Drosophila melanogaster: one gene and its partners. Changing the gene in region 3 together with the main gene of any one other region gives a genetic interaction. Each region holds a gene or a part of one and is shown on either strand. Other genes may lie near its edges.

The links. Genes that interact genetically often act in the same process or in processes that back each other up.
Region 1: of trpl (region 3) and inaF-D, changing one enhances a phenotype caused by changing the other (phenotypic enhancement), as found in Drosophila melanogaster (one study listed by BioGRID).
Region 2: of trpl (region 3) and Xport-B, changing one enhances a phenotype caused by changing the other (phenotypic enhancement), as found in Drosophila melanogaster (one study listed by BioGRID).

Annotation. Positions count from the first base shown.
Region 1 is NC_004354.4:11,724,114-11,731,022, forward strand, and holds inaF-D (inaF-D), read right to left. Parts: upstream 4,987-6,909; 5' UTR 4,702-4,986; coding exon 4,476-4,701; intron 3,252-4,475; coding exon 2,416-3,251; 3' UTR 555-2,415; downstream 1-554. Other genes in the region: CG15221 (uncharacterized protein), read left to right, coding at 283-325.
Region 2 is NT_033777.3:19,913,766-19,917,043, reverse strand, and holds Xport-B (exit protein of rhodopsin and TRP B), read left to right. Parts: upstream 1-1,631; 5' UTR 1,632-1,749; coding exon of another isoform or gene 1,750-1,963; 5' UTR 1,964-1,967; intron 1,968-2,031; coding exon of another isoform or gene 2,032-2,168; 5' UTR 2,169-2,219; coding exon 2,220-2,561; 3' UTR 2,562-2,724; downstream 2,725-3,278. Other genes in the region: CG4465 (uncharacterized protein), read left to right, coding at 54-1,054; Xport-A (exit protein of rhodopsin and TRP A), read left to right, coding at 1,750-1,963, 2,032-2,168.
Region 3 is NT_033778.4:9,752,064-9,756,741, reverse strand, and holds the start of trpl (transient receptor potential-like), read right to left. Parts: upstream 3,046-4,678; 5' UTR 2,903-3,045; exon of another isoform or gene 2,765-2,902; intron 1,129-2,764; 5' UTR 1,013-1,128; coding exon 983-1,012; intron 705-982; coding exon 559-704; intron 450-558; exon of another isoform or gene 1-449. UniProt on the Drosophila melanogaster protein: A light-sensitive calcium channel that is required for inositide-mediated Ca(2+) entry in the retina during phospholipase C (PLC)-mediated phototransduction. Required for vision in the dark and in dim light. Binds calmodulin.

The DNA.
Region 1 (6,909 bases), on a different chromosome or scaffold from region 3:
TTGCAATTTGCTTGAAGATGGTGAATGGCGTTTATTCAAGATTTACAGCTTTTGTTTTCGTCTTTATTTTTGGTGCGGATATCTCTGTCCGGGTTTACGATTGTGTTACCGTACCGAGCTTTACAGAACACAATTGCGATCGGACTTTGAAGCACGTACCTCTGCGTTCGGATACCCGGACATACTTCTAAGTCCACAGACCCACGGAGCTCATCAGTTGGCCGTGGACCGTGCCGTCAGACGCAACGCAATCCTTGCTTCGCCTCGAAGTTTCAGGACATCATGGATAATCCTGGATATGTGATTGACTGCGATCGCGAGTTCGGTGAGTGAAAGAAGCAATGTGGTTCCCCATGGGTTCTACGGTTTTAAGTGAGATCTAATATAACATGGAAATCTGTGTGAAACAAAGTTGTGAAATATATGATGCTAAATACTATAACAATCGTAGTCGTATGGATCAAATGACTGTTTTTTTTTTTTACAAGTGATGATAGTAAAAATATCCCAATGCAACAGTGTTCGTTGAATAAAAAAAAGACCTTGCTTAATTTATTGTTGTTTGCTATGCTTTATTATTGCCAAAATGACTTTGTTTTTCTTGGTATACATATATAAGATATATGCGGTATATAAGATATATATGCGGTATATGCCCATCAGTTACAGATTCAATTCTATATCGTATGCATATCGTTTATACGTATGTTATTATTGATGAATTCAATTCTCGTGTCTTTGGATGCAGATGCAGTTTTACTATCTCTCCCTTTCACTTTCACTTTCTCTCTCTCTCTCTCTCGTCCTCTCTTGACCACTTTCCTTAACTATCTCTGCCGCTTTTTCGCTTAGTGTAGTTGGTTTTTGATAGGTTTGCATTTAGTGTTTAAGTATGTGAATAGAACGAGCCAATGTCACGTCACACATCGGTTATATGCCCCATATATGTATATATGTATATAACCACATATTTGTTCTTGAGTTGAGCACGCCAGGTTTTATCTTGAGAAGCGAAGCGCCTATGGGTAATGCGTCAGCTATTTTTAGGCCACTTTCGTGGGCTTTATAGTGCGAATCTTTGGAGTATCATAAACGTTGTAATTTGGCTTACATTTGTTTATCCGATAATAAAGTTTCAAAAACTAATATTTTGTTTGAAAAACATACGTTACATAGAAAGCCTAAAATGCTTTTCGAAAATATTGAAAACCTTTGAATTGGTTTTTGCCAATTTGAATGAAAAGTATAGCGAAAACTTAATAAATTACATATTTCGAAGTACATAATATAGAATGCATACACCGATATCTGATCATGACATAGTTCTCTTCGCGTGAGGCGACTAGGATTGTGTGTGATTCAATCTGATGATGCTGAATTCTAGTGACATTTATCCGCTTCCCCGTTTGCAAGGGGGGTATACTCCTTGGATGGGTTACTGGTAATTGGTAATTGATTACTAGTTACTGGTTACTGTTTACTGGTAAACTGATTACTCTAGGGTTGGCTAATTATTGTAGTTGGTGTAGCGTTCGCTAGCTGCCTGGAAGCAGTGTCCTAGGTGGGGTGAGTTTGCTGCTGAGCTTGGTGAGGTGAGCCGCCTGTGTGATCCGTGATACGTATTCCGTGATCCGTAATTCGTGATCCGTGATCGCTGATATCGTGTGACTTTCTACTGAAGTGGGTCCCGTATTATGCGTGAGTGTGTGTCCCTTACGAGTGTGTTGTTTTGAATTGATTTGAGTGGATTGGATTGGATTGGATTGGAGTGGAGTGTGGTTGGTACATCGACTATCGTTTAGCTATGGTTTCAACTATCCTTTTGCAGTACATAACGTTTATTAACCTCTATATGTGGCCAGGCCTGGCTACGTATATATGGACCAATTTATAGCTCAGTACTGATACAAGTCAAGACTTATCTATAGCAGAAATGAGTTATACAACCGATCTACTTGCTTTGGCTTTAGTTAACATTATTATAGAATAAGCGAGTACAACTTTTGTTCCTAAGTTCTTGCTATAAAACGTTAAATTTGTTCAATTGCAAACGCATTCTACGCATTAACTGAGATTATATTTGTACCTGTAAATTTCAATATGAAATGTCTAATATCGCTATCAATTTGGAAAACATATCTACTCGAACTGATTAATTGAAATATTTTCCCCATGCTTATGCCAGTACTGAGCTTAACTGAGTTATTTCTCCATTCAAATAGGTATGACAAGGTATTGAGGGTATTATTGCCCATTTGTTAGTCATTTCTTTTTTTGTTTCTTGGGCAGTTACCATTTCTATGAGCTAATCTCCAATTCCGATCTTGACTGTAGTGTATATCCCTCTACATGCATTAAAAAAAAAAAAAAAAAAAAACAATGAACCGCGACGTTTCCTGATCTGGGTGCAGTCCCTTACTTCTCGAAGATCAGCTCGCCGGTGAGAAACGGATTGAGGTAGGTCTGCGCCTCGTAGCCAGAAACCGATGCCGTCGTGGTCCTTCGCCGGCCGCCGGATTGCGCCCCGTTCCGCCTCTCGCCATGGACATGTCCGTGGGCGTGGTGCGAAGGACGCTTTTCGTCGCTGGGACTCAGGATCAGTGGAATGGGCATCGAGGTGTATAGCTGCAGTTGTGGTGCCTGGACAATGGTTCCTGCCGCCGGATTTAGTGGAGCGTCCATATAACCATGTGGCAAAGTGGCCGCAGTGGCCATTGACGCATCTCCTCCGGCTGTGGTGCTCGGCGTGGAGCTGGCCATCGAATTGGCAATGGACAGTTTCTTTTGACCACCGGCTCGGGCTCTATGATGTTTGTAGTGACCGCGATGTGTCTTCCGCTTCAGGTGACCCATTCCGGTTACTTCGACCGGCGGTGAGGTATCCAGGATTAGAGGCATGTGACCCTGCTCCGTTTCTGCATCCAACTGATCACCACCCATAGCGTGACTTATGTTGCCGGGTTGCGGGCTATATGGTCCTAAAAGCGGCTTCTTGGGCGGCTCCCTGGGATGTGGATGGGGATGCGGATGTGCCTGAATGATGGTGGCCGTGGCAAAGACCTCCTGGAAGCGATTGTTTGCCTCCAGCTGCTGCAGTTGGAGATGTTGGCGCTGCAGCAGTTGCTGGCGCTGCTGTTGCATGTGGCTGAGGATGCGGTACTGCTCGAGGATGTGCTTGTAGAACTGCTCCGCGGTCACTTCCGATGAGTTCAGGAGGCGAATGGCTATTTTCTCGGGTATCACAATTTTATCTGCAAGAATCAGGAATCATAAGGATTTAATTAGTTTGTTATTTATTATATAAGTAGTATTTTATGGAAATCTTAACACGTTTCTCATTCAAAATCATATTTCTATGACTTAGTCCAACTTTTTTTACACCTGTTACGATTCAAATATTCCTTGTTGTGTCTTAATTCAAATTTAAGCTGATGCTCCAAATGGGCAAAACTTTTAAAGCGAACACTAAGCATATTACCTTACATTCAGCTCTGGAACAGTGCATTCTCGCTATCATAAATTGCAATTTGTTTGGCTTTCTGGCGTATAACTTTCATTGAGCTCCCAGATTCCGCATTTAATTGCATCAAATTAGATTTATTGAACTGCAAATGGAAAGTACACCAAGAAAAACTGCACCCTAACGTGCTTAGGGCGGTGGGTGGCTGGGTGGTTTCGGTTGGTTTTGGGTGGTTCGGGTGTAGTCGTGTGCATGACACCCCATTGACCCAATTCCGAGTTGATTTACAAAAACTGAACAAAAAGCCAAGAATCAGCGGAAGGAAGGAGGCGGAACAAGCTGAAGCCGAAGCGAGTGGAGCATTGTGGGCGGCTTTTTCACGTCCTTTCCTGAGAAAGTGCTGCCAATTGCGATATTTTGCCAAGAAATTTGGGCAAATTCTATTTCAACGTAATAACAACTACAGAATGCTTGGTAGTAAGCTGAAGAACAATTACATTCAGACCCTTTACTATTTCGCATGCATATAACCATCAATTTAAAAAGGAAAAAAAAAACTTTAATAACTGTCACTTCTTTGAATCAGATATGGCAGTACACTTATCCATACTGCACTTTCCGTTAAAAGCACTTTATAATGAGGCTTCAAAAAAGAAAAGGGTCAACCCTATCCTGCCAGCCATCGAAGCCCATCTAATGGTAATGGCTAACTACTAATGGGTAGTCCAGCCCCAACGTTCACCCTAATACCCATCCCCATCCCCTTGGCAATCGTAATACAGCTAGCTCTTAACTCTGGTAGCCTAGATTCGGGCTTTGTCCCAGATTGACCGCTGGCCGCAAATTACCCGGCGCGTGATTGGTTTCTGGCTTTTTTGGTCACATGGCCAGTGGTCATTGGTCACCGTTCATTGGTCATTGTTCACCGGTTGGCAGTCATCGGTTTATGATGGAGCAGTTTGGCCGTTGATGTGGAGTGTACAGTGATTACACGGTTGACTAACCGCCGCCTTACCGCAATGCGTGGCCTTGGTGACAAAGGGCCGGATGGTGGGGTCCCAGATGAAGATGTAGTATAGGGATAGCATGATGGCCGCCAGTGAAACGCAAAGGACATAGACGGCGACGGTCAGGATGCGGATGACCTTGCGGTTGCTTTGCTGCGGCTGGTAGCATCGGCTTATTGTCTCCGTGGGCGGCAGTTTCACTTTCTCCTCCAGCGAACTGTGTTTCGAGTTCATTTTTGATTCGATCGTTTGTTTTTTGATTGTTTCGATATGGCTCTTCTTGATTTTGGTAGCTTTCCTCTAAAAATTTATTTGAATTCTCTTCACGTTGTTTTGGCAGTGTCCCGTTATAGTCTAGTATTTTGTTTTTGTTTGATAAATGCAAAGTTCTTTTCGGTTCTTAGCTTGCCACACGCGATTAGTTTTACATGTAAATGATATATATTTGATTTGAATTAATTTATTATTGTTGTTTATGCGTGGCGAGCTTAAAAGTACAAAAAAGGGCGCGCAAAAACTTGTCTGCCAACCGACGCGTCGAAAGTGTGAAAGCGAAATGAGAGCAGAGAGAGAGATTCTGGCAGGAGTTGGTACCGTTTTTCGCCTTCGTGCTTTTGCAGTTCCTGCTTCGTGCGAGAGCGAATCGCTCTCTCGCACTCGGTTATTTCTTCCTTCGTGGCAATTTCGGCTGCCTTTGGGGGAGTTTACCATTGCATTAGGCGATCTTCGCTTTTAATTTCATTCATAAAATCCGTCTCTCTCACTCGCGCTCATTTGCATTTTCGGCTGCCCACGCTCATTGTTGTTTCTTCTGCTTCTTTTTTTTTGTGTTCTTTTCATTATTTCGTGGGCATTCCTTGAAGGCGAAATAAAAACAAAAACAAACCGCACGTCGGCACGTTGCCGCTCTTTGTGTGTCAAGTGCAGTTTTCACTCCCCCGAAAATCAGCGCTCCCCTTTTTGCGTTCGATTTACATGCGGAAATTAAAATGCGCGCTTGAATTAATTTTCCATTATTTCAATAATTTCAATGCCAATCAATTGTTGTGCCAATTGGGGCGATTGTTCGCATCGATAAAATCAAATGTTGTGCAATTTCTGGTGGGCTGTTGGTGGGCGGTGGGTGGTGGGTGCCTTTGGTGGGCGTGGGCGTGGCGGTGCACTGCTGGCTTTGACAGCAACCTTCGCAGGTGTCGCGAAGGACGTTCAAACTTTCACACAACCCCACCTCCCCCCACAGCCTACCTTTAACCCGCCGTGCACACCTTCGTTTTCCGTTGCCTTCGGGGGGTTAACAAACTGCAACTGGGTCACTAGGACAAGTCGAGAGAGAGAATGAAAAAGAGCGGCAGAACGAGCAGGAGAGAGCTAACGGAGAGAGCGAAACGAATGCAGCGCTCGGCGAATTGAAATGCAGACGTGCGAGTGAGATGGCCAAACGGTATTGCAATGTTGGCCATTGATTTTGTTGTGTAAGTTCCATACACACACACACACACACACACACAAAGAAAGTGCTGCGAAAAGAGATAGCCAGTCACACACCCACATGCATGTGCAGTTACAGGTTGCACTCCAAAACGGAAACACTGGATTGTAATGCCCAAAAGTATGCTACAAAAACAAAAAATATGTATTTATCGTATGTGTATCATACTTGAAAACCTATAAACAATAACTATTTATGGTCGAAACTTCAAAGTATTTTCTAAAATATAACAGAGCAGTCATAAGTCGCAGGTTCTTAATCAAAAGCTAAAATGGTAAATTTTAACTTTACGTGGTTACGAGGGTAAAACAAAAAAACCTAGTTCCGGAAAGTTCTACTGGCGCACGTTTGCTCAAACAAAGCTCCACTGTACTTGCACTTAAATGCATATTCATCATGTGGGCCAGGATGTAGGACACGCTCACACTCACACGCAAGTTCACATACATTTGCCGAGCAGCATTGTTGCAAAGTTTCCTTCAAGGAGTTTAATTCGCCAACGTGGCCAGGTAGAGCCCTCATCCTGCCTATTCTGGCCTCGAAAATGTTTTGGGCCCGGCCTATTGCATTTGCCATTTTCCATCCCCCCCTTCCCAACAACCATTTCCCACTTCCGTTTCCCTCCAGCCATTTTGCCCATGGCAAGTTTAAGGATGGTTTATCCATCTGCTTACTTATGTGCAGACAAAGCTGATTAAGCAGCTCGGGCAGCCGGAACGATGGGATAACTTGGGCTATGGGCCTTGGTAAGCGAATAAGGGTAAACTTATTCCCCCAACATGCATGATACAGAGTTGGATACACATAATTAAACTTAAACTTTTGTTGGGCGAAAAGTTTCTGGGCTAAGAAACGATGGGCGAGACGGGCGGTTTATCAACTTAATAAGAACTAATGGCATGGCTCGAGTAAATGTGTGTGCAGGAAAGATATTGGCTTTGAATTAATTAGAC
Region 2 (3,278 bases), on a different chromosome or scaffold from region 3:
AAGTAAAATTGAATATTTAAGAATACTTTAATATTAAATAACCTACTTTTCAGTTGGTGACATAACAGCGGGAAAATATCGCGTAGGAACCCTCATACTTTACGACTGCTTCTGGGCTCTGGGCTTGATTCTGCTCCCTGGCTTGGCCTCCAATGCTCCCAGCTGGCAGCACATATACTTGGGCGTAACTCTTTCCTTGCTGGTGATTGTCTTTCTGCTACCCTGGACTCCGGACTCACCGCGCTGGCAGCTGCAACACACCAAGGAAGCTCAACTGGCCATCGAGCGAACGGTGGGTATCCTGCTGGAAGCAGCCCGTACCAATGGTAGAATGCACAAAGTGTCCAAGGAGTTACCCCAGCAGTTGGAGGAGCTGAGAGAAAGGATGCTGGAGCCAATGCCCGCCGTGCATTGGATGCACTTGTGGATGGGCCAGCGTAGGAGTACTTTCCACTTGGTGGCCGTGCACATGGCACTTGCCACCTTCATGGTGGTCAACACTGGGCTGCTGCTCCATGTGCGGTCCTTTGGCAGGGAGCACCTGGTGTCCAACACACTGGCCATGGGCCTGGCCGAGATGCTTGGCTGCTTCCTGGCCCTACACCTGACCTTCAACCTGAGTGAACGCAAGTGGCAGTGGGCGGGGGGATTTGCCATCGTGGTCGGTTGCATCGGTAGCATCTGTTGGTTCCTGGCCGAGGAGGATATGCCCGAGGTGTATGGACTGACGCTGGGCTTGCTAATGGCATCACTTCCCCAGGCGGCCGTAGCCTGCGCCCAGTCCATGATTTTGGCCTGCCTGGGCGAACTGGTGCCAATGGAGCAGCGTAGTTGCCTCTCCTTCTCCGCCGTCACGTGGGCGCGGGTGTGGCAGCTCTCCGCCTCTTTTCTCACGCTGCTCAGGCAGGTGAGCCCCGCCCTCTCCCTGTCCGCCTTCTGTCTGCTGGTCATCCTGGGCGGCCTTGGCACATGTTGCCTGGTCACGCGGGACAAGGAGCAGCCACCGGTCGGAGCTGTGGTAAACAAGGGACAGCAACTTATTGCGTTCACGTAATAACGTATACTTAATATATGTCTGGGCGTATTTGATAAGTTAGTTGTAGTGTGTGTCAAGTATTCGCGAACAGTATTCGAATTTAGCTCATTAAACATTCGCTTATCGCGAATCGAATATGTATATTGGGTTGCATACTTTTGGGAATAAATCAAAAGTTCGGCATCTACACGTAGTTTGTTTAAAATGTAAAGCTTACATTAGATCAATGCAAAACTATTATAAACTATTTGGCAGAATAAGGCATTAAATAAATTAAAACTGGTTTGCATGATATTTAAATAAGCTTTCAGGAACCAGAGCCATTTGGGACCAATGTAAACCCACAAACACCAACCCTACCGGCGACCACCTTCATCCACCAAGTTGACACACATTTCGTGTGACTGGTATAATAAGTACACATGCCCGGCTAAATATCCAAGCGCATTGCTCCACTAACAACATATTTCTATTTGGTCACCTGTCCCACCATTCCCACCCAGCCAGAGCGACAAGCAGAAATCGCAAATCAATAAAATGGAAACCATAAAATTGCCAGAAGCGGCGCCACGCCAATTGGCACCACAAAGTTTGTGTCATTTGCGGAGCAGCAGTTGGCGAGGAAGCACCAGGCGGAGAGCACTTCCAGGACCAACTCCAATCAAATGCAGTGCTGTGCAGGCTGACCGACCAACTGCTGCTATCTGGATGCAATGAAGCCGAAGAAATCGGCCTTTGCCAATTCATCCACGGGATACGGCAGGAACAAGCACGGTAAAGGACACTCTGGCAAGGATAAAGTCGAGGGTGGTGGTAAGGGCAAGAGCCGAGACGAGAAGGATAAGCATAAGCATGAGCAGAAGGTGGACGAGAAGGATGACAAGGATCTAAATTCCGGCTTCGGCGACTATCTTCGCACTCCGGAGGGTCTGTAATTTTCGCTCCTTAAAAATATATAGTTCATTTAACTAATAAATATTACCCCTTTCCAATAGCATTTGAAATGATGAAACTCTTTGTCTTCGCCAATACCATAATGCTAATTGTCACCATGGCCTGGCCGCACATCAAGGAGCAATTCTACATGGTTAATCAATGGCTTGAAAGCTTCCGCGAGGAGCATCAGCAGTAGAAACCAAAGGATCTATCGAACAAATAAGTAAATCAAGTGGAAGCATACAATATGGTCGGTCCATTCATGCAGGGCCTATTCTTGATTGGCATCATCTACTGGTATTCCAAGGGGATGATGTCCATGATCAACGACTACTACAGAAGTGAGTTCCAGCGAAAGTTGCAGACGGAACCAGCAAAGACGAGGGCAGAGACACCCATCAATGTGGACAACTTTATGGATTATGTTAGGGAGCTGGACACTCCGGACGAGGTGGCTAGAATTCCGGCGGAAGGAACTGAATCTCCGCCCATGGGAAACACCTATTGCCACATCCTTCGACGATTCTTGGAGATTACCGGCACTCTACCACCATTCGATGTTTGCCTAGTTACGAGCAACATAAGATAGCCCATCCTATAATTAATTATATATGGTATCAATTATACTTAGTGTGTTTTATATGAGTTTCGTAGAATAAAATATCTTACTAACCGTATTGCATACTTAATTGTCTTGCTCTCTACATTCGAATTCTACATTGTATCCCACCATTATGAACAACAATAGAAATATTTATCCAACTTGTGGTTTTCAGCTTTTTTATTTAAATGTTTGCAGAATATATTCGTGTGTCTCCAGCATTAGCTCACTTACTAACCTATTCACAAAACTTTATAAACATACTAATCTCTATAAATATCATGGAATATATATCGATTTGGTCTGTAAGTAAGCTCTATTCAATCCAGATCTGGTCATTGCTAGTTTGCATCTGAAGCATCTCGTGAAAAATAGTTATATGGAGATATAAAGTAGTTAGGTATTTGACTTGGAAGTTATGCCATTTGGTTTATAATAAGTGCTGTCTACAAATCGCTTGTGTTCAGGTATTCGTTTTGTGGCACAAAGTGTAGAGTTTTGAAGATACCACAAAGCTGAAGATATCTTAAGTATCATTTGATTTAAGGAGGTCAGTATGTGATTAAGAGCTAGGTATTACCAATTTCATAAGAGATCCACATTCTAACATACACTACGCGCACCCACTCTTTAGCCAATTTCGTAAAATTAACTTCACAAACAATAAAATACAAAGACAAATGCCTCTCGGGCAAAATCATATTT
Region 3 (4,678 bases):
GTTAAAGCAAAGCCGTAAACGAGCGTAAAGTATCCGGGTCGAAGGCCTCATATTGCTTATTAAGTGGCTGCCGGGATGCCAGTTAGGTAACCATTTTGAGGCCCGCGGCAGACGAGTGTGCAAATAATTGAACCCACCACCAGCACCGCATCCAAAGAACCCAAGGAGGCTCCCGATGGGATTTATGGTACCTGTGCGACCCAGCCCAGTCAACACCTGTGTTACCCTGGGCGAAGCCACCATTGGAGCTCGTGATACCCCTCTAAAAATGTCAGGGTTTTTATTCGAACACCCTACACTCGGATAAATGTGGTAGTGTGTTTAACTATTTCTTTTAAATTGAAGGCTAAATATATCAATATACATTAGGTTCTACTCGATTGATACATTCATTAGCTAAGCTTGTACATTAACTTTGAATACTAATGCTCATCCAACACCTGATTGTGGTAAGAGTTTCTTGCAGTGTATCCCTCCCGCCCAAGATGCCATACAGAAACACCACCCACCCCCCCCCCCTCCCTGCTGGGCATCGGAGGCGTGAAAAGCGCTACTCACCTGCGCACATTCGGCATATCGCCGCGCTCGACAGCCAGCAGGAACTTCTTCTCCTCGAGCAGCAGAGGCTGTGGTAATCCCAGCGGCACACAGCACCCGCCCACCGATTTGGGGGCGGAGGAGGCGTGGCTGACGCCAGACGATACCTGGCATAATTTAAAGAGACAGGTGAGCAGGAGCCACATACGTACATGCCGATGTGGCGAGGGGGAAATCGTGTATGCGGAATTGCAAATAAATAAAAAATAAACATACAAGAAAATTAAGTGCAAAGTGGAGGATGCTGGGCTGATTGTCTGGCTTCCATCTAAATGGCATTGGAGGCGTTTAAGGTAAGCGGCGTTTAGCTAATACTGGCGGCTTTAAGACATGCTACTTGCTGGATACGGATCTGGATCGGGATCCTGGATGGGTTTCTACTTACGCCCGTCGGCAGCTTCTTTTTGCGACCCATTCTAGAGTTAGTGCACTTCACTTAACCGAACGCCAGCAGTTCGTAACTAGTATTCCATGTACCAAGTCCAGGGTTCAGAGTTCAAAATCCGACTTCATGTCGCAGGGCTTTGCACACTTGCAGTGAAAAGTGAACGATATTTACATATATGGCATATATATTTATATACACAATGGCAAAGCCAAAAAAGTCCAATACTAAGCCGGGCCACATGCAACTTTCAAGTTGATTTTGCTTTTGTACTCATAGTTGTATAGTCCATAGTTATATGTCCAACTGGGTGTGCTTGTGTGTGTTGGTGTGTGTGTGTGTGTGTCTGGTGGTTTTTGACTTGGTTTATGGTTTCTGGTTTCCGGCGTGCAAAAAGTTTCTATTTAAGCTGTTTATAATGTTTTTCTTTTTATTTCCGCCACTGACCGAGCTGGCTAAACCCTTTTTAAGTGCCATCTGCATGGGCAAGATTTAAGTTTTGCCAATTTAGTGAGTTGATTAGACACTGTGCAGTTTCACTGTTTCCCGACTGTTACTGGTCAATTCCAAAGGCCACACTGAACACCAAATTCGCGAGCACTTATTGCACCACTTATGACCAATTGTTCAATCGGCTTTCTGTTTTGATTTACATTTTTATTGCACTCATCTCATTAGCAACGAACTGCAGTTTGTATTAGTTGTTGCTGCTCTCATTGGATTGTTCACATCATCGCCAATCGTTTCTCCCATTAGAATTAATTTCTTTGTTTCCCAATATTTTCCCACACCCGATGAAAATATTTTTATTTTCCGCTGCCTTCCTCCGCATGTGTGAACACAATGCCAAAATGAATATTTAAGGAGCTTTTTTCGATAATCCGCAAAGAAAAAATGCATTCCGTCTACATGCTTTTGCTTTAAACTGGCTTTATGCTCCTGCGGATGCGGATCTGCATGCGGATATGGATGCGGATGCTGCAGATGCATTTAAAAGTGTTTGGGCTGGTCATAAAAAATGCAAGTGCTTTGTATGCGCGGCAGGCAAAAACTCGGAACCATCATCATGGCGGTTGTTCCATAAAAAACACTTCCGGTACCAACAAAAGGTGGTTCTGACTACCCCAGGAGCCCCGATGGTGCATTGTTTAATTAACTTAATAGAAATATAAGTGCGGAGGACGGGCGAAAATGCGGACGGACATAAAAATGTCGCAATAAATTCGGTTTTATCCGCCACTTCATGGGAAGCGTTTATAAATGGATTTATAGCTGTTCACCTGCACAGCAGGTGCATACTGCGACTGCCCATCGAAATGGGATTATATCTGCACCTGTATATATTATAACAAGTATAAACTATTCGGTTAACATACGATGTAAAATGCATATGATATTTCACTCTAATTTCTCCCTCTGCAGCCGAGATGTGTTAATTCTGCCTGGCACCGATCGAAGTATCATAATTTTGTCGCAAGCGCACTGGAGTTCATTAAAACTAGAACAAATTTTGAGTATTTTACAGAGTTCATAAAAACGAAGGGCTTATCGCGATGGCAGCCAGTTGAATCGAAACTCCAGCAGTCACAGACCACAAGCTCCGCACACACAGCCCCAACTTGACAATCAACGGAAGAGGTAGGAGCAACCTGCAGCTGCCAGGAGCAACCAGGAGCAGTCAGGAGCAACCAGGAGCACAATGAATGAAGGATATAGCCACGTAATTCAGTTGGCTCACGGACTGCACTTAAGCCACTTATAACCAAGCGTACGGATACGTACTTCTTGCATTCCGGCACATAAAAACGTGTGCAATTGTTCGACTCGCTGGCACAATGGACGTTGGAATTTCATGTGACCGGCTTAGGTGAGAGGACTGCGACTATGAATTGTATGCTGGCATATACTTTATAACAATACGTTTGGCCACCGAACTCCCGAATTCCCGTACAATGTGTGTTGTAGTTTATGTATATCTGAATTTCAGCTCTTTTGAAGGCGAAAACCCGCCGAGAGACAACCCGCGACGCAGCCCGAACGTGTGCCACCTGCGAAATTTACACGCTGCTACTAACGCGCAGAAATTTATACCTTTCCCGAGGGCCGAGCGGCGATGTGGCTAATTTAATTAGACTAAAACGTCAAATATTTGTCACCCATCGCATGGATACGCCTGGAGGTTGTCCGTGCAACATTTATCCACACATATATATATATATATATTTCTATAGGTTTATATATACGTTTGTGGTGTTATGAATTGTGGAGGTCGAGGGCTGAAACACAGTATCAACAAGTTTTCGCCAAGTTCGCCTAAGGGGATTAGGACCCAAACATATGTAGGGGCTGGTGCTGAGGTGGGACTGGTGGTGGAGGTGGGGGCCACGATCCAGACGGCGACTGTCGGCAATTGAATTACAACTAATTTGCCATGATTTGATTTGGGTTGCTACAGCTATTGTTTGCCACTTGCTCTTCGGGCTCTTTTCCGGCCACAAACTGCTGCACATTTGCGGATACTTTCGTGCTGCCCAATGCAGCGTGCGTAATTTGATTTGGAAAATTTCAGTTTAGCCTGCAGTTCGATTGACATTGATTAGCTGCTGTTTTCAATATATGTTAATAGCTGCGACTCGAAACATCTTGCATATAAATCTACTGCTCCTTCTACCATTATACACTTGCTATAAATCTGAAATCTACTACTAGTGTTTTCATTGCCTAATTTTTTTATATTGCAATTATTTCATCGTAACGCAGCATAATACTTGTAATTGTTTGAATTCAATTAATTAATTTTTCACTTGTACCGAATTTTTTCAAATGCTGATACCCATTAAACTGATTTCAAGTAAACCTAAAGAGCCTATGATTGTGTTATTTCAATAGTTTGTTTCATTTTCAACTTGCTATTGAAAAGGGTTCCTGGTTCCACTGGCTGCTCCACTTCAATTGGGATACAACGAACTGCTAGACAGTCCAAGAGGGTCCTTCACATGTTCATATGTCTCCGGCAGAGTCAGCCTTTTGACGGGCATAAACAAATTTGCCCAGGCAAATCTAAACTCTAGATACACAGAGGGCATGAGCAGTAACCAACTTGCCAAACAAAGGCGGAATTAAATCAAAAATCTTAAAATGGATTTTGATGAGATGGAGCATAGCGGGTTGTTGGGCTGCCGAGGAGGGCAGGGATGAGGGGAATCCTTTGGCGACAGACAACAATTGAAGCAGATTCCAGCATCAGCTGAAAAGTCGAGGTTTGGGCCGGAGCTTCGCATGACTGCACGTAAACAGGCGAAGCCAAACAAACAAACAAACACCAGATGAGGTTTTCGGGCGGAAAAGAGTGGAGCAGGAGCAGGAGGCGGGTGTGGCAGGTGGGTTACCATGACTGCGTCTTTTATCAAGCTGCATGCGGTGGGCGAAGAGCTCCAGTTCGGAGTAAAAGCATCCTTTAAGGTTCGTCCTGGCTCCAATCTCCCGATTCTCTGGCCGCGTTGCGATATATCTGGCACTTCCCCTGTCTTTTTTTTGTGCTATATCTTCTTGTTTTGGCCACGTGGCTTTTAGTAATACACTCGAAATTTTTGAAAATCACTTAACAAATAAACTATTTTATAATAAATAATACATAAATTAAGTATGAATTTATTACTTCGAAGACATCTAAGTTTGTGTGCTATCTAAATCTGC